2 linked regions of the Struthio camelus genome follow. The protein of the gene in region 1 purifies or fractionates together with the protein of each later gene. This does not show direct contact. Links are inferred from orthologs where the notes say so. Each region holds a gene or a part of one and is shown on either strand. Other genes may lie near its edges.

Region 1 (9,550 bases):
ATGAATGTTTGGAAAATGGATGAAGCTGTTCTGCTGGAGACAGCATTAAATGCATCTCCAAAGAGTAAATCATGGACGTACAGCGCTTAAATGCTTTTTATTTCTACCTTCAGTTGTATCTCAGTAATTTTATCTAACAAAATTAATCACGTTGCAGTAAAAATTTTCTACTTGGGGAGGACTGTCTAGCAGCCATGCATTCTACTACTAATTCGCAAACTATTTAGCTCTTAAAAATCAAGGAAAAAGATAAGCTGGAAAATGGAGTAGCATTACTACTAAGCACCATGGTGATCTCAATTAAATCTGTTATAAGCCGTTCTAATTCAGAATGACTCTGTTGTGTGAATGAAGGGGAAGAATGGGTATAAGGAAGAATTAGTTCAGTTGTCCACAATGTTCCCATATTCCCAGGTGAATCTTTCATCTGCCCTGTCTTTGCTTGTGGGCTGCAGTATTCCCGTTTCCACTGCGTATCTGGACAGACGCGTGGTCTGAGCTCTTCATCCACCAGTTCAGTACCAGTTTGCATCCGTACCAGCCGAGAGCAAGCAACAGGGCTGAGCGTCACCATCACAGTGTCGAGTTTTTCATGGCCCCTCAGTGTCCCCTGCTGCTCCCGCATCCATCCCCGGCTCCTCTGCAGTGCTGTGGGTCAGGGCCTTGGGAGCAGAGGCGCCATATGGGACAGGCAGCGACCTCTCCGCCAACCCTGCTCCCCTCTCTCACCACCCAAGGCCCCATCCGCCATCCCCGGCAATTTCACAACACGCTTCTCATCCTCCTACTGCCTGACTCATTCCAAAAGTGCCTTTAATTTACTTAGTGTCAGTCACTAAGCAGTTAAAGCCTGATTTGAGAGAAAGATCTAAGTCGGATGGCTCCTCCAGTGCCACCACCCACACCCTTCCGCTTGCAGACTGGAGCGAGTGGGAGCTGGTGAGGGCTTGGACTGGAAGCGGCAGCAGAGGACTTCTGCACCGAAACGGCTATGCAAGGTATTGCCACCTAGTGCTACGAAGATGGAAAAACAAGATTTCCCTTCTGCTCAGGACTGAAACTCCTGCGAGGTGGCCCCCAAAGAGTCCATGAGTGGGAACGTCCTCCTCCATTGGAGCAGCTCTTCAGCTCTTACAAGCTATCTTTAATCCTATCTGCCTGTCTGCTTAACCTATCTATTGTGCCATATCCTACACTCATTGCAGCTTAGGCCTCTTAACTTTGAGGCTGCAGGTACCTGCACTAGTATTAGTTGACACTAAACATGAAGACTGTTCTTTTTTTAGCACAAGGGTTTTAAAGGCAGGTTGTAAGGCAACACATAACTTTACTTTGTTTACCACACTTGTGACCTTGGTAGAAAAACAGTCTTTGAAAAATAGCTGCATAAAAGAAAAGCCTTGCTTAGGGGAAGGTTGCAACGTAAACCTGTATGTTCATAGGTATCAGAGAATAAGCAGGGGAAAAAGGCATTAGCTGCATCAAAAATTTTAAGTGGAGCTTGCGCCTTTTTAGGTGTCAAAGTTGATCACCTGTGAGACACAAGCTTAGGTTTTCTTAGTACCAGCTCATGGAACTGCTGCTTGTTTTACTAGTATGTCTAAATATCCATTAGCATTCTTCTGAATTTATAGTGAAAACGAATGAGATCAGGCACAATTTTCTGCGTATATTTTCTCCCTTCACCTCTGTGTTAATTTTTCTCCCCTGTATAACTCATTGCTGATTATTAGCTTAGCTTCCACTAAATCTCTTTCAGAGGCTGGCATTTTAACTTACCAGCTTGAGTTCTATATTGTTGACATATTAAATTGCAGAAAGCAGCAAAATTACCACAGCCTGAGTTCGCACTGTCTTTTTTTTAAGACATTGCATGATATGAATAAATCATGTTGCCAGCCTGCCACGATGCATTAATGAAGATGCATACCCTCTTACCCTACCCTCTTACTGGATGTTAAGTGAGAACCTTTCCACTGTCTTTTTTCTCTTCATTTTCACTATGGAAGAAGCTTTCTAATTCTGCACATCAGTTTGCTTACCAATCCTGCTGTTGCCTAACACAATAAAAATCAGTTATATAACTGCCTTTGCTAGACGTTCACAGAACATTCACCGAGATGGCATGATGGCTGCAGCATCTTTATGCTTTCCACTGTATCTCCTGTTCACTATTATATGTGATACACTCTGCTTTTAATATCGACCATTTTATTTTTTGTCACTTCTTGACATCATAGTTTAAAATAGTACATACCTAAATCTAAGATCATAGCCTTGCAAAGACAAAGTAGAGAAAAAAATATGTTCTGATTTACTGCCAAAAAGACTGATACTATAGCATTGTTACCTCCAAAAAAAAAAAAAGCATCACCTACACAGATTGTCACATCGTATTTTTAATACTCTAATTTTGAACCAAATTCTTAAAATAACCTGTGTTTGCAGATTACCAGCTGGCCTTTTTATCTGAATAATGTCCTGATTAGTGAACTCCCTCTTATCAATCCAGCAAGTACGGGGTGTCATTGTTCACCTCATTCACAATTCATCTTTTAATTAACAGTATCACAGGCAAAAATCTATTTTGGTCAGCGTAATTTGTCATTGGAATTGGCAGTACAGAAATAAAAGAATTACCTTCTGAAATTATCTGAAGACAATGTAGGAGATGGTGACTGCAAACCTACCTTAACTAGCACCAGAGAGGAAGGGAGGGAAACCACGTAAATGACTATGGCTTTTAACAATTTTATTTGCAATGTAAAAATCACTACTTTGGTCATTCAGTATCTGCTAGGCAAACTGTTCTGTCAAAATTACTGTTATTGAAAATAGAAACCTGAATCCTACTCTTAGACACATGCTTTACTCGTAAAGGGCTGCTGACTTACAGAAGTTTGAAGAGAGAGATACAGATGTCTTTTCAAGGTTATGATCTTAGATATAGGTTTGCAATAAAGCAACAAAATGCTGATCATTTGCTTTAATAGTTAAACTTTGAAATTAAGTTACAGCTACAGCACTGCTTTAGAGAGTAGACAAAGAAGTACATTTTTTAACTACTACTTTTATTTTTTGGTAGCAGGAGATGAACCTTTCTTACTGAATAAAATGCAATTCTGAATCCATCTCTCAAGACTTAAGGTGTCTGTCTAATGACATAAGAATCCATCAATGTGGGAAAAATTGAATAACATTTTATTTATCTGGGTCTGTAAAGAAGACATCTGTCCCTACAGTCTATATAGACATTTGTCTGTTTATTTTCAAATCAATGCACTTAAAACAACTGCATTTAAGGCACAGTCAACATACCACCAAACCAGCCACTTAAAAACTCCCTCCACCATCCCTTTACCTTATGACGGCTTCCATTCCTATTCTCAAATGCTGTGGAGGACTTTGCAACATGCCCTGAAAATGGTCAGATTCAAGGAATATTCTGCCAAAAAGACAATCAGTTCTGTAACCAGACCAGCTCTTCAGAGCATGCTCTACTGGAGGCCCTTTCTGTTTCAAAATAGCTAGACCTCAGCTTGGCTGCTGCTGGTGGCTTCTGTTACACTAAAGTGGAGAGGCAGTTTTGTAGGGTGGAAGATCCTGTTTTGTTAGTAGCTTTTAAAACAGTTTTTAGATAGGGACCACCAGTCTCTACTGTGAAAATTAATATTATATAATAATATAATATAATAAATTATGTATATTTACATTGTTTTTAATGAATGCAGCTTGTATTAAACATACCGGAGGCTAACTAACTTACTCGACCCCTCCTGTTCATAGTGCCATTTAGTTATTTTAATGGCAGAGACAAGCTGGTGCTTACACAGGCGCATCAGAAGGTCGAAGAGATATAACAGATATCTACAGCTTTACAGCCCTGATTCTGTAGCTTTCTGTGGGCTATCTTGTGTGTTGAGAGCAAGATGAAACCCAGAAATACATCACTGAGAGCAGGGAAATGCTATGAAGGTTTAATAATAACCCCATTAACATTAAATCCTATGGATTTATTTTCTTCAGTTTTTATCTGATAATAGACCTGGGAAGAATTAGTTTTTTTGGCAGAAGATAAAGACAGTTTGGCTCCTCAACCTTAAATATTGTTCCTGAATTTGAATAATATCTAATCATTATGAAGTTAATGGCACAGACTAAAAGTTATGAAAATTTCTATCCAAGGTTATAAAAAAGTATACCTAAGAAGTTGTTAGGCTGAAATAACGGCTTTGCAAGTTTAGTTTATTTTTGGGTCACCCTCCTTTCTAGGTAAAATAAGATGCCTTTCGTATTACTGGACCACTGGGTTTTTCTAACATTTTCTACATGCAGCCGAGGAGAGATCATTAAATCATACAGCTTTCTTTTACCCTCTGCCTTCTTCCAGACAAGTGCAATCTTCTGTATTCCTTGTGCATTAACAGCACATGAATAAGAGGCAGTGAAGATTTTACTGATCTTCTGAGGAATACTGAATTATTTTCTCTGTTCTAAGAACAATTATGCAAAATGTGGAAAACAAAAATAAATGAAGTAGAAAGATGTACCCTTTATATAGTAATGATACAATCCGACAAAAGGAAATTAAGATTCTCCTTAGAATATTAAGAGGTGAAATTAATATTCTAAAGGCCATGCTTTTACGATTCTCTCATAGCTCTGGTGAAAAAAAAACATCTTTTTCAGTTCTTGCAAACAGCCTCTCCAGAGATGTGTGTTCCTTTCATCTCCAAAAATTAACCAGAATTCACAAACAAATTAAAGTATGTAAATGCAATGGTTTCTAAACAAGAGCTGGTAGAGTACGCCTAGTAGGGAAGCGTGCGCTGCTGCCCCCTGATGCGAGGAACGTTAAAGCCGTTCAAGGGCCGCCAGCCAACGGCGCGCTGCCCAATTTCTTTCTTTCATTAGTGTATGGCCCGAAATGTATCTGTTACTTTTAGACAAAAATAAGGTAATGGCTATCCCCTGAGTAACTCAATATTTATGTTGTTAGTTGAGGAGAAGGAAGAAGAAGAGACCAAAAAAAAAAAAGAAGCAAAACAAGCAGAAAACCCAACTGTGCACAACCACCACGAGAAGCTTTTGAAAATCGTTAACAGGCACAAACTGCTGTTTAGAACCCACTTTTAACGCATGCTTTTGTTGTAAATCACTATCACCTGGCAATGGTAACATTTACGACCATCGCTGACTAATACTTCACGCAATTGTAGCACAGTTTGTCTTGCCACTCTCCTGTCTGTGCATCCACCTCTTGCACCCTGGAGCAAATCTGGGAGCGTAAGCTGGCTGGAGCAGGGGCTTCCTTGGTATTGTCTGCTGGTGTAATTTCTGGCAAACCGGGTCGCCATCTCTGCGTAGGTGCCCAGACGGTGCCGGGTTCAGGCCGGCGCAGAGAAGGGCGGCAGGGCGGCAGGCCGCGAAGGCGCCCTGCTAGGCCAGGGGGGCGGCCGGCCCGTCCGCCCCCGGGGCCGCGCGCCTCCTCTGGGGCTCGGGGAACGAGGGCCGCTGCGAAACGGGATTTAGAGCTTCAGCGATTTTTGCACTTTGTGAAATTGCTCTTTAAGCCGTAGCTCCAAATCCATGTAATTTGCAGGATTGTTTTTTCTTTCCTTGAATAAAGCAGTTTTTCACCTTCCTGGCTGACAGGCAAGGGTGACCAAAGTGCATCTGAAAAACTTAACCAGAAGGCAAACAATATTGGCGTGCGTGTGTACCGGGACCGAAGTCCAGGTGTCGCGGGACGACCCCCGCGCCCGCGGGGGCCGGGCGAGCTGTGCGGCCTGCGGGGACTGCAGGGCTCCTCCAGCCCGGCCCGGCCACCCTCTCCCCCCGGGCATCGCTTTGAGTTAGAAGGGAGGAAGCAAAGGAGGGAGTGAACCGGGCCGGGCCGGGCCGCGCCTGCCGTGGCCGGGGAGGGCGCCGCCTCCGAGGAGACGGGGAGGCGGCGTGCGGGCGCCGCGGAAAGACTACAACTCCCAGCGTGCTCCGGGGGCCGGCGCGGCGCGGTGACGCGGAGGGCGGTGACGCGGAGGGGGCCGGGCGGGGCGGAAGTGGGTTCCCCTCGCAGAGCCGCCGGCCGGGCCCGGTTCCGGGTGTCCCTTCCTCGGCGCGGGGCGGGGGAGGGGAGAAGATGGCGGCGGACTTGGAGGCGGAGGTGCAGGCTATTGACAAGAGCCTGCTGGAGTGCTCCGCCGAGGAGATCGCCGGGGTGAGGCGCCGTCGCGCCCTGTCGCCGGGCCGCGGGGGCGGCGGCGGGCCCGGGGCCGAAGCGCGCTCGGTGCCTGGCGGCGGCGGGGAGGGAGGGAGCGGGGGCTGCTAGGCCGGCGGTAACGGCGGCGGGGCGGGGGGGGGGGGCAGTACAGCCGGGCTGTGAGGGCTAGAGGGGCCGTGCTGGGGAGGGGGGGGAGCGGAGGGGGCAGAGGGGCTTTCCCCGCGGGGGTCGCGGGCTGGGCGCTGCGAAGGGCGCTGCGGGCTTGAAGCCGCGTCGCTCTCCGGCTCCAACGTGCTGTTGTCACCCGTGTCGCTCTTGCGGCAGCCTGAACGCAGCCGGCTTTTCCTGTTGTGCGGGCTTGCTCGGGCGGCTCGGGCCGGGCCAGCCCCGCGGCCGCAGCGCCCGGCGGCGCCAGGGCACCGGCCAGGCAGCAGCGGGGGCGGCGGGGCCGCGGCCTGGCCTGTGGGAGCTCGTCCCTCGGGCTGCCCTTGCTTCCTGGCCTTCTCCACGCAGCTCGGGAGTTTTGTGCTGCTGTTTTGCTTCACCTCTCGCTGTCTTGAAACGAGAAGAGCCTCCCTGTTCCTTAGCCTGTTAATTTAAGTGGAAGCCTCGTCCCATATACGCTTTGCAAGATTGAGGTTTTTATTACAGGGTTCCCGCTCCCCACCCCCTCCTTTTTTTTTTTTTTTTTTCCTCCTCTCCAGTATATAAGATGCAGTTCTGGTGAAAGCTTATCCCAGTTAAGTTTGGGACTATTAGGATGGGAAGCTTGTGGAGGAAATAGCTAGTAGAATCAGGGTAATACTTGAAGTCACCTACTTTCTTATATAGACTTTTCCAGCATTTGTAGAGAGTAGCAGGAAGGTCAAAGAAGGGGAATCTTAAGGGTAAAGTTTTCAAGGAACCATTTTATTTTTGCTTCTGAGGTAGATGCCTGATCTTATAGGTACATTTAGGTGCATTTGAGGAACTATATCTATACGTTTGTGAACATATTGGCGTGCTTTGTGTGCGTTTCTGTAGGATAAGACGTCAGAGAGCTTTTTCGTGTATTTTAATGAGAGTTACATTGTCTCCTTTCCAAAATAAAATGAAAGACAACGTTGTAATTCAGGTTAGCCTCAGATTACTGTCGTATATCTACAGTGCAGAGACAAAGGTGTGATTAGGTAGGCAAATGTGCCCAGTTAGCTATATCCTAGCTAGTTTAGTTCAGTGTAGGTAGCAGTATAGGTTTACGTAGGTTCATCATTTTTAGATGATTTTCTAGAGCATGTGTTAGTTACTTACCTGAGCTAAAGGCACACCAAATGGCACATGTCTAAGAATCTGCCATAGGTGCAAGGTCTTCTTTAAACTTAGTCAGTTCTTTCTCATTTTTCCCCCATAATCACCAGCATAAGCTACAATTCAGCGATCTGTTCGTTTCAGACCCACAGTGTGCTAGCAGTTAAATGCTATTGGCACTCCCTGAACGTGTAAGTAAACAGCACAGCTGGTCTTTAGGTCTGTTTTTCTCCCTCCTTTGCTGATAGTATTACTTTGCTGATAGCACAATACTAACAAAATAAATGCCAGTCCAAAGCTATAGTTATAGTACTTTGCATTTCAGTTTCTTATTGCAACAAGTTAACTATGAACCTCCAAAGAACAATAATCAGAAGAATAAATGACTGTCATCTGTAACAGAATATAAGCCTACATTGCAGATATTAATTTATATAGCTAACCAAAGCCATAAATACGTAAGGTATGCCATTTAGCTCTGGAAGTAGTAAATTGAGTTGTTTCATGACTTTTTTTGTATCGTGCATTTTGTTCAGCTATTTTGTCTCTTAATTAAATGTAATTTAATAGAAACTCTGATGGACCCTTAGGTGTTTACTTGTATGAGTGTTATTTAAACAATGTTTTTTGATTCTATTTATTTATTTATTTATTTATTGGCACTCAAAAGTGCAGGAGAATAAGTCAGGGGAGGAAATGAAGGAGGATACATTTCCCTTTTTATTAAAAGAATCTCATGGCAGGGTAGAATATTAATTTTTCCTACGTGTCAATTCAGGGTAGAAGATTAGGCAAGTTTTCAGTTAGTATTTGTCTAATATGAAATACTTAGGCCAAAAAATAAATTCTAAAGTTTTGAGTAGTTTTTTACTGGGATTCAGTGCCTCTCAGGTATCAGTCCGCTAGCAAGTTAGCATAGCTTTCAGTTTTGTTTTGTTATTTTGTTTTGTTTTACAAGCACTCTAAGGGACACCAGAAATGCATCTATTTCCTTGTCCTAGCAGTCCACATTTCTTTCCTTCTGGTATTCTTTTGGCCAGGATCTAATACTCAGAACTATATGCACAGCTACGTGTATAGAATTCAGTTCGTGAAGAGACGTAGGTGTGATGACATCCAGTGTTGCCACACCTAACTTTCAGGCAAGTACTGCTGGAATTTTTGGGAAGGGAAAGCTGTTTACCTGAGGAACAACAATTTTCTCTGGCTAGGTATTTGTCTGAGCTTGTAGTGTAACTAATATGTGCTATATCTTTTCTAGATAGAAATTACTAAGGTACTTCAGATTTAAAAAGTTGAAATTAAAGGCATTTTGCTAAGAACAAAATGCAAGTATTTTAACTAATACGTGCTCTAGAAAAATCATCTAAAAATGATCTTACTGAAGAGAGATGATGGAAGACACTAAGTTGGTTCCGCTGCAGTTAGGTCAGTTCCTCGTGCAGCAGTACGTCTTTGGCACAACTGATGGAAAGAGACCAAAAGATTCATGAGCTAGGGAAAAGGATGCAAATTCTTAGCAATGAAAATGTTAATGTTTCCATTTTTGTGGAGTAGTCTCTTAATCCTAATGGGAATAGTGAGATTCACTGTAAACTTCTGGATCCTTAGATAGGGTCTTTTATGGCAAGCCTTTTCCGTAGGCTTATTTGGAAAATTCCTAGTTTTGTAACCATCAAAACTAGATCAATTCAAAAACGTTTAGTAGATTGATTATGATTTTAAGCCAAACTTAGGGAAAGAGAAGTGAGGAAAGCGTTCTGTTTTACTATCTAAGAGCTATATTGACAAATAAGCTTTTTTGAATGAAAGTCTGCATTAGAAAAAGTAGTCTAGCAGATGAAAATATTGCAATGTATATTTTAAAAAATCCCTTAAGTGGTATGAATACTACACTGACTCTGCACCTTTATCCTCAAGAACTCACCACAACAGTATCTTCTCAAATAAAAGTTCTTAAGAGTGAGTCATGAATAATTCAGAGTGAATCAAGCTGTAACATTTGGTTATCAAAGTTAATTATTTTTGTATAATTAATTCTTG
Region 2 (8,722 bases), on another chromosome or scaffold:
AAAACTCTTACCCAAATATAACTGCGTTCCACTGCATTATGTTATTCTCAGACGGAGCACCACTGACACCCACAGGAGGGTCTTCCTGCAATCTAAGAATTACAAATATAGAATGACAAGCCTTATATAAACGAAATACTGACTCCTACAAGTAAAATTTAAGAGTAATATACAGAGTTTGTAAATCTTCTCATTCCAAATTAGACAACTCGCATTAGTGCTATGTGCAGATCAGTAACACTGCAAAAGACAGAAACCTAGAAAATGCACATCAAGCTTTTCCCAAGTATTACACTGATGGCCCAATGGGTTGCATAAGTATGCAAGGAGCAAAGCATCAACTGTAAGAATAATTTAAAGCACCACATACACTGAGACTGACTGTACTGCACAGTACATTATGAAAGAGTAGAAAGCAATTCCTGCTGGTTGCTGCAAGGAAGTAAACAGATCACAACCACAAACTGAAGCATTAGCTATTAGTATCCGAAAGTGGGCCAGTGATACTTAAATGATACACTTATTGAAACTTAGTGCAAAGGACTCTCAATGAAGCTTTCCTTGCATTCCCAATTTTGCATGTGAGATGTGGCTAAACGTGGTGTAAATCCATTCTGGCTGGCAAGCCGATTGCTTTGAAAGGGAAGGAGGAGCAAGGGAAAAACCTCTGTACTGCTCCTTGTTACCAGTTCAACAAAATGTAAATATTTATTTCTAAAGTAATCATGGAAGTGTTTTAAATTCTTTCTGGTCCCTTAATCCTGGGACTAGGGAAAAATACATTACTGACTGAAAGTCACAAACTTGGGCCAGACATCATAACTCAAGGATAGGATCCAAATATTGTCATTCTGCCCATCCTTTTGTCTATCAATGTTTCTATTTAAGGATTCCATAAAGCCCTGGAACGGCATAAAACAGTAAGCTCCAATCACCTGGTAAGAATTCTGCCGTATCAAACCCCTTCAACAATAGCTCCTATCAATCTCACCTATTCAGCCTCATAATTATGAGAATAAGAACAATGAAGCAACTGCCCTTGCTTCAAAAGCAATTCTTAACAGTATTAACAGGAGGTCTAAATACATAACAGCATACTATTATGTGCAAGTCTTCACTGAGCCTGCAGACCAAGGGGCAAATTCTAACAAGATTTGCACGTGCAAGTGCAGATTTATTCAGAGCTGACACTGCTCTACAGTCATTCATTATGCCCTGTAACTTTTCACGTACTTGCATTTCCTAAGTCTATTAGACACAGTGAGCTAAAACTGCACGTGTACGTGGGCAGTAAGCGATGATGTTACCCTGCAAAGACAGGGTAGAAGCAGGGTTCTGACCGTTTGCAGTTCAGATCCCCTCCGAACTCTGGGTTTACATCCTTGTTCTCCGAGCACACACAGTTCAGACAGCTTAATATCAACAGCATAAATTGCCTGCTATTTTGGTCAGTGAGAGCAGGAATGTGACTTCTCCCTATGTGATATCCAGACTGCGTGCCAGTAATAATGCCTAAGCATTAAGTCTAATAATGCATCTGAAAGATGGCTTTGGTTCTTAGATCACTTAAAAAGCTCACGTGCACCCCACTGCCAAAGAGCGCAAAAAAATTTGTGGCAAGAACTGGAAACTAGACCGGTCTGAGCAGAGACCAGAAATCTGTAAGAAATAAGGATAACGTAGTATTTACAGCTCCTTTTCCAAAAGCAAAAACAAACCTAGTCAGCTTATTTTTGTTGCTTTAGTCAAAAAGAGGGGGGAAAAAAAAATCTGTTGAACTGTTCTTTCTTCAGCACTGTTGACAACTGCAGTACGCAAAAGGAGTTTATATTTAAACAAACTGAATCAGAGTTCACAGCACACATTGTCTGCTTCTTTCAGTATGAGGTAAGATTAACAGATTAACATAAGGCTAAACAAAAATATAACTTAAGGGTAGGAGGGAGAAAATTTAAAAGACTGATAGGAAAATGTTACATAAGTGTTGAGGCATGGAGTTCTTATACATGTATAAATAAATGTGAACTTGTATAACCAAATAAATGCAATGAAACACGGAACTTCTCCATGGATTTAAAGTCTTTTATCCATCTCCAATTTCAAAGTGATCAAATCACTCCCCCTAAGATAATCCATTTCTACTACTGATTACAAAATCACAGAAAACATATCTGATTGCAATCCTAAAAAAAAAAAAAAAAATCACTTCATCCTTCACCCTAAAGGAAGGGCTACTTTTGTCATTTGCGTAACCTAATACAAGGGGGGGGGAAAAAGTCTGAATACCCCATTTTAGTTGAAACAGAATTCAAGTGACCTTCTGCTCACAGCATGCAAACACCCAAATAAAACATAACAGCTAGGATCCACTTATCAAAAATGTCCGACTTGGCAGAGTCAAAAAACAAAAACAAAAACCTCCACTTTTATGTGACTGCATGTAAGGCTACAGTGTTAAAACAACTACATACAATATGCATGTGTCAACTGTTTACTGATGTATTTTCAGGTACTGGTATAACATAGCTATGCTAAAAAAAGAGACAGTATCAAAGCTGACTCACCTCCCACAACTTATGAGTTACTTGAGTCCAGAGAAATCATAACACATACTGTGAAGCTTACAAAAAATAATTTTTTCCATACTCTCAATTATAAACATATTTACATGCTAGACTGGAAATAAACTATTCCAGATTCTGTGGTTCAGCCATTAACATTTAGAAGAGCTAAAGAAGCAGTTATTAGTAGTCATATATGTGTACATATTACAGATTCCTCATTATTGAGGAACACAAAATAACACTTTTTTTTAAATCACATATAGACGGTGTTTACTAGTTTTCTATACTTCATTTTCAGATGTCCATCCTGAACTGGGAGATTGTCAGAGAGACTGACAACCCAATCAGCCTCAACTGCATCTGAATTCTGACTGTTCTCTCCAGAAAACTGGGCCAAATATCTTAAGTATTCAAACACTTGTGTGAGGAAGAGAAAGGGGGCAGGGGAGGAAGAGCCTCAGAAGCGTTTAGCCTCAGTAAGCTCTTCACCACTAGGCCCTTCTAGGAAAAAAAAAAAAAAGTATCTAGAAGACAGTGCACATCTGACCTCCAACCACTGCTTGGTTTTCAGTCATGCCCCTCACCTATATCCTTAAATAACCAGTGTATTTGAGCCTTTCCTAACTATTTACAGATCATATGCTTTCTATTCAGTAAGACTCTGAATTAGGCTTCCACGTCACTGTAGTCCAAGGGGTTTTAGCCGTGCGACGTGCGAGCCTCTGCCTTTATCCTGGGAGCTTGGTCCTAAAGAGCAGCTTTCAGGGGAAGGCTCGTCTCCCGGCCGCGGCCAGGCGGGCCGCGAACGGCTCTCCAGGCTCAAGGCGCGCTGCCCAGGCGCGGCGGAGCGCGGAGGAGCGCGGCCCTTGCGCTCAAGGCATCGCCTTCAACTTTTATCCTCAAACGCCCCCAGACGTCTGTAAACAGTACGAGGCAGGCGGCCTGGGAGGAAGCAGCGCTCAACAAAAACAAAAGCGGTTCTGCCCGAGGAGCAACGCGCTCCGCGGACCCGGGGAGGTGTGGGGGGGGGGGTAAAGCTCCTCACCGGCGGGTGCGCCTCACCGCCGGGCTGCCCGGAGGCCGCCCCCCCTCCCACCCCCCACCGCGGAACCGGCCCCCCTCGTCCGCCAGGCGCCGGCCGGGCGCAACGGCCAGCTCGGCGGCCCCGACGGAACGGACCGGCCAACCGAGGCGCTGGGCTCCAGCACGGGGCCGCTCCGGAGGCGGGCTGACCCCGGCCGGCCGGCCGGCGGGCCGCGGCTCGGGCCCCGCTCCGGCGGCTCCCGGCGCCGGTCCGGCCGCCCCCCCCCCCTTCCCTCGGCGGCAACCGAGCCCGGCGCTCCTGACCGCCCGGGGGGCCGCGCCGAGCCGAGCGGCGGCCGCTCACCTCTTGAAGTCGCGCATCAGCCTGCGCCGGGCCGGAGTGGACATGATGGCCGCGCAGAAGGGAGCCGGCCGTGCCCCGGAGCCGCGGCGCCGCCTCCCTCGGCCGCCTGCACAAACAACCCCGCAATGGCGTCTCCCTCCGCGGGGGGCGGGCCGCGCCGCGGGGCCGCCGACGTCGCCCGGCGCGGGGGGGGGGGGCCGGGGGGGAGAGAGCGAGCACCGCCTTCGGCGCGTACCACTGCGCCCGCCGCGGGGGGAGGAAGGGGGCTGCCCGCGGAGCCAGGGCGGCCCCAGCGCAGAGCTCCGCGCTGATGGGAGCGATGGCCGCGTTTAAACAAACGCCTTTTGGAAGGGCCGGCTGCGAAAATCGGCACGGCTGGACGACTGTGGTGTGCAGCGCTAAAAATTCATCACTGGAAGTCTTGCACGGGGGCGAGGCAGTTCTTTTCTCCAGAAAGCTTTTTCTAAGCAAACAAATGGATAGTTTAGGGCTTGGACAAAATAACAATTTTGGCAGGAGGGAGACATCAGGCTCCGCTTTGTGATTTGATTCCTATAATGCAAATAGGCACAAGAAATTTCAATTTGAAATGGCACAAAATGTTAGGATGACTAGGAAACGAAGAACCTACCTTTGGCAGCCTGAAGTGTTTGCTTAGGAAAATAAGGCTAACAACAGGCACAAATGCCTTCTATAAATACATCAGAGAGGCTGAGGGAGAGAAGAGCTAATTTAAACTAAATAACAATACTGGCATAAGAACAAATGGGCATGAAGTTAGTCAGAAATCATTTCGGGAAGATACTTGTATTCATACTACTTACCTTCTGAAACCGGGTAGTGGAGAACTAGGGTAGTTAAGTTGCCTGCAATCTTCCCCTCTCCCTTTTTTCTTGTTTAAACCACATGACTCCAACAGACTCAAGTAGATCTCTTTGAAGTTATGACCCTGTTCTTTTCTGAAGTCTTGGAAGCTAGCCCCAGCACTTGGATTTGTGTGATTACATGTGCCTCCTTGTTTTTTTTCCAGAGTTATTTAGGGAGATCATAAACATCATGAGACTCATAATGAAGTGACAGAAATAAATACTGTCTTCATCCTTTTACCCATTTGTTTTGCCTTCGGCTATGCACGTGCTTGAGAGCATTGACCTTAGCTTTAATATAGCACAAAAGCTAGTTAACTGCTTTTCACTCGAGCACATGCTAAACCAGCGCTTCAGCAGCCTCACTGACAAGGGTTACAGGCTGACCAGAGCACTGCTCTGAATCGGTACCTCACTGTTAAGGCAGAGATTTTATCCTGCCAAGACTTAAGCTTTGAACATGTTTTAATCCATTGTCCCACCTCAGTGAAGACATTAAGATGCTTAAAGTGAGATATACGTATAACAATTCACAAAACAAAGGCCTGATATTACAAGGGAGCAAGCGAGTTTTAAAGAGGGCTAGTAATAAGAAACTCCTATTGGGCTGGCTAGTCCGTCATTTCCCACTCATTAAAACAGTATTATTTCCTGCACCAGTGAGAGATGCTTCATGACAAGCAGTCTCTTCTCCTAAGTTTTCCTCCCTTGCCCATCACATATATGCTTTAATTTTGCTGCTAGTCCTCTAGCTTCAAGCAGTTTATATTTAGCATCAGTTAATTCATAAGGGAGATGGGAGACTAAAAAACAAGTACAAGCTTGGACCTGTATAAATCATTAACATAGATTTAACAACATTCATTATTTCCACTATTAACATGCCCTTCACCACAATTGCCCAGACACAGCAGCAAAAGCATCCTCTACCCAAAGGGCAGTTCTTTATTCTTTGAAGCCCAAGTCACCCTCAACACACAGGCACCCCTCAACTCGCATTCAGGCTTCCCCTTCAGGGCAACATTCGTTAACTGCACAGAGAACCCTCTATCAGACAAAAAATGTTAATCCTGAAATCCTAAATAGTTTTCACCTGGCTCAGGAAATTTTTCACCAACATCTCCTCACCAGCAATAGTATTTCTTCTCCTCTGACACCCTTGCAGAATGGCACAAGAAACGAAAGGTCACAACAGCTTCCTTGAAGCGCTCCTCTTTCACTCCTTTATTGAGTGTAGGAATTAGCCAAGACCTTACCACTCAGCCCTTGCCAAGCCCATACTCCTTCTCTTAAGATACATGCATCAGGCCAACCCCAGGCCCTTGCACAGCAGCACAGGGAAGTTCAGCCACCGTTTGGGTTGGGTCAGCAGCTTGCAGCCTGAAGCACGTCTGAGCGCACTGAATTCACGCAGCAGAGGGCACTGATAAGCTTTCCAGTTCTGCACTGTCAAAACAGATGGGTGGGTCACAAATCATACAAAACAGGATTGTCTCACATGCATAGACAGGATCTAATTAAGTTTTTCCTTTTTGAATCTGGTCTCATGATTAAACACCTGTGATGATTAGTTTTATTAGCAAATGCAAAGCTTCCATATTTTTCCCTTGTGAAGATCCAGCTGCAATTTGTTTTGTTGATCATATAGCATATGTAGGTTTTAAAATCAAATTAAGTATAACCCAAGTTCATTTTAAAAACGAACAGTTTGGAAAATAACAGTGAAACAAGGTATCTGCCTTTGCATTTGTTAAGACAGTCCATCCTCCTAGAAACTTAATTTTTTTTTTTTATGGTCACTCTCTCTGATGCTGCAGTGCCCCTCTGGGAAGATTTACCATTAACACTGTCCAAACCCCAGGATCTAAAATTAGGGAAATGAATAAACCAAGTCATCCGTTAGAATTTGCTTTTGTTCTTACTCATTACACTAGTAGCTGAGGAGCTACCTTCAGAGGTGCCAAACACACTGGTCAGGAGACACCATTCTTGTTCCCAAAGCATTCACTAATAAAGATGTAACCCATTAGGGCCTGTGGCATAGTAGTAACTGACTTGCGCACCCACAGCCCCAAGACAAGAATGAGTAAGTAGTGTCAAAGTAAGAAAAAAAATCAAGTGGGTTATTTAATCCACAAAGCAGTAGAGGTAGAAACAAACTCCAGCCTCTGAACCCCTATAACTTACTGACGGAGGGGTGCAACTCCATCATACCCTGATTGCCGACCCTGCCTTTCAGGATTTTTGAACCTCGGCTTGCCTGTTACTCCAATCCTACTTCATTATTCAAAATTCCGGGAAAAATACCAGATTCAGGATAAATCCTTGTGTGGCCCTACTCAGGGCATCCTCTTCTTTTGACAGTAAACTACTGGTAACTATTCTTCAAACACATTTTAGTTAGGTGTGCACCCTTCTTAAATAAATAGTTGTTCTAATACTATTTGAATACAAAGTTACTTCAGAGCATACCACCTAGAAAAGCAAGAAGCATGACTGAAAAAAAAAAAAAATACAGACACCAAGGGATCCCACACCTGCCTCCATCTATCCGCTAAACCACCTACGCGATGAAGGAGGCTGCGTGTAATACTTGCTCTGGGTGACTCCGCTCCAGGCTGCCTCCCCTGCTCGGCCTCCAGGGGCTCAGCGCGCCCGCCCGCCCGCTCCAACGCTCTTCCGGAGACCTAGAGGAGTTAACTCAACTTTTACTCAGACTTGGTAAAAAACCGAAGTGGAGAGAGAGGTTTTTTTGCCGCTTGGGGGAGCGGCAGTTACCCCTTTTACCCGCTACGGCGTTGTTAAATACACTCAATCCCCTGCTGCCAACCCCCGGCAACGCCAAGACCACCGCGTCCAACTGATTAATACGCGACCAGCTTGTGGAGAGCGGAAAACGACCGTCCCGCGCCCGTTAAATCCGGCTGTGAGGAGAGACGCCGCCAACCGCCCCTCAGCGCCGCCCCGCCCCCGCCCCGCGGAGCGCGCCGACGTCAGCGCGGCGGCGCGGCGCGGGCGGCCGTTGCCATGGCGAGGCGGCTGCCTTGGTTCAGCGGCGGTTTAGCGGCGCCCGCGGGGAGCCGTTACGGCCGTTAGGGCCGTTGGGCGCTGGTGCCGCCGCGCGGGCGGGCGGGCGGTCGGGTCGGGTCGGGCCGCCGCTTCCCCGCACGTCGGTCGGCGCCCGCGGGCGTTTTCAAGCCCCGGCCGGTTGCCGTGCCTCCGAAGGCCGTGGCGGCGGTATAATAACACAGTCCTTCCTCTGTTGCGCTGCTCGTACCTGCTTGCTCTAGAGGATGAGGGGTTTGTTTATTTAGCTTTTATTCCTCCTCTTTAGCCCACCTTTAGTTAAAGCTGGGGTCTGTAGACGTCTCTAGGAGCGTGCGCGAGTGCGAAGTTGAGCTCTTGACTGTCACCATGTGTATATGGCTTAAAAAAAAAAAAAAGCTGAAGGCTTGGGAGGCTTCACCTCAAGGGCTTGCAGAGATGTTCGGGAAAGGGAAGTGACCGCTGTCTTCAGGGGTTACCCCTCTTGAAATGTTGCCTTTGCATGCGTGTTTAAGGAGTCGTGCGTACCTTGAACTGATTCAAACTTTTGTCTTTCTATGAAGAAATAAGAACCAGCGAAGATGGAGATGTACGAGGTCCTTGACAAAGTGGGAGAGGGCAGTTACGGAACAGTAGTGAAGTGCCGACACAAGGACACGGGACAGACAGTGGCCATTAAAATATTATATGAGAAATCAGGAAAGCATATTAACAAAACTGCGATGAGAGAAGTAAAGTTTCTACAGGTTTGTTCCGTTAAATATGTAAAACAAATGGGAAATGGCTTGAAAACGAGAGCTGCATCATTAACAGAGTACGTGGTTGCTTTTAGGCTGCTTCGTGCACAAAATAGCGTGAAA

Evidence for each region.
Region 2: the proteins of UBR2 (region 1) and UBE2B purify together in Homo sapiens (affinity purification with western blotting; 3 studies listed by BioGRID, with this or other methods). This does not show direct contact. The link is inferred for Struthio camelus from reciprocal best matches to the Homo sapiens genes UBR2 and UBE2B.

The regions. Positions count from the first base shown.
Region 1 is NC_090944.1:112,908,453-112,918,002, reverse strand, and holds the start of UBR2 (E3 ubiquitin-protein ligase UBR2), read left to right. Parts: upstream 1-6,004; 5' UTR 6,005-6,139; coding exon 6,140-6,217; intron 6,218-9,550. UniProt on the Homo sapiens protein: E3 ubiquitin-protein ligase which is a component of the N-end rule pathway.
Region 2 is NC_090954.1:3,939,566-3,948,287, reverse strand, and holds the start of UBE2B (ubiquitin-conjugating enzyme E2 B), read right to left. Parts: upstream 4,144-8,722; 5' UTR 3,996-4,143; coding exon 3,952-3,995; intron 93-3,951; coding exon 12-92; intron 1-11. Other genes in the region: CDKL3 (cyclin-dependent kinase-like 3), read left to right, coding at 8,444-8,608. UniProt on the Homo sapiens protein: E2 ubiquitin-conjugating enzyme that accepts ubiquitin from the ubiquitin-activating enzyme E1 and transfers it to a E3 ubiquitin-protein ligase. In vitro catalyzes 'Lys-11'-, as well as 'Lys-48'- and 'Lys-63'-linked polyubiquitination.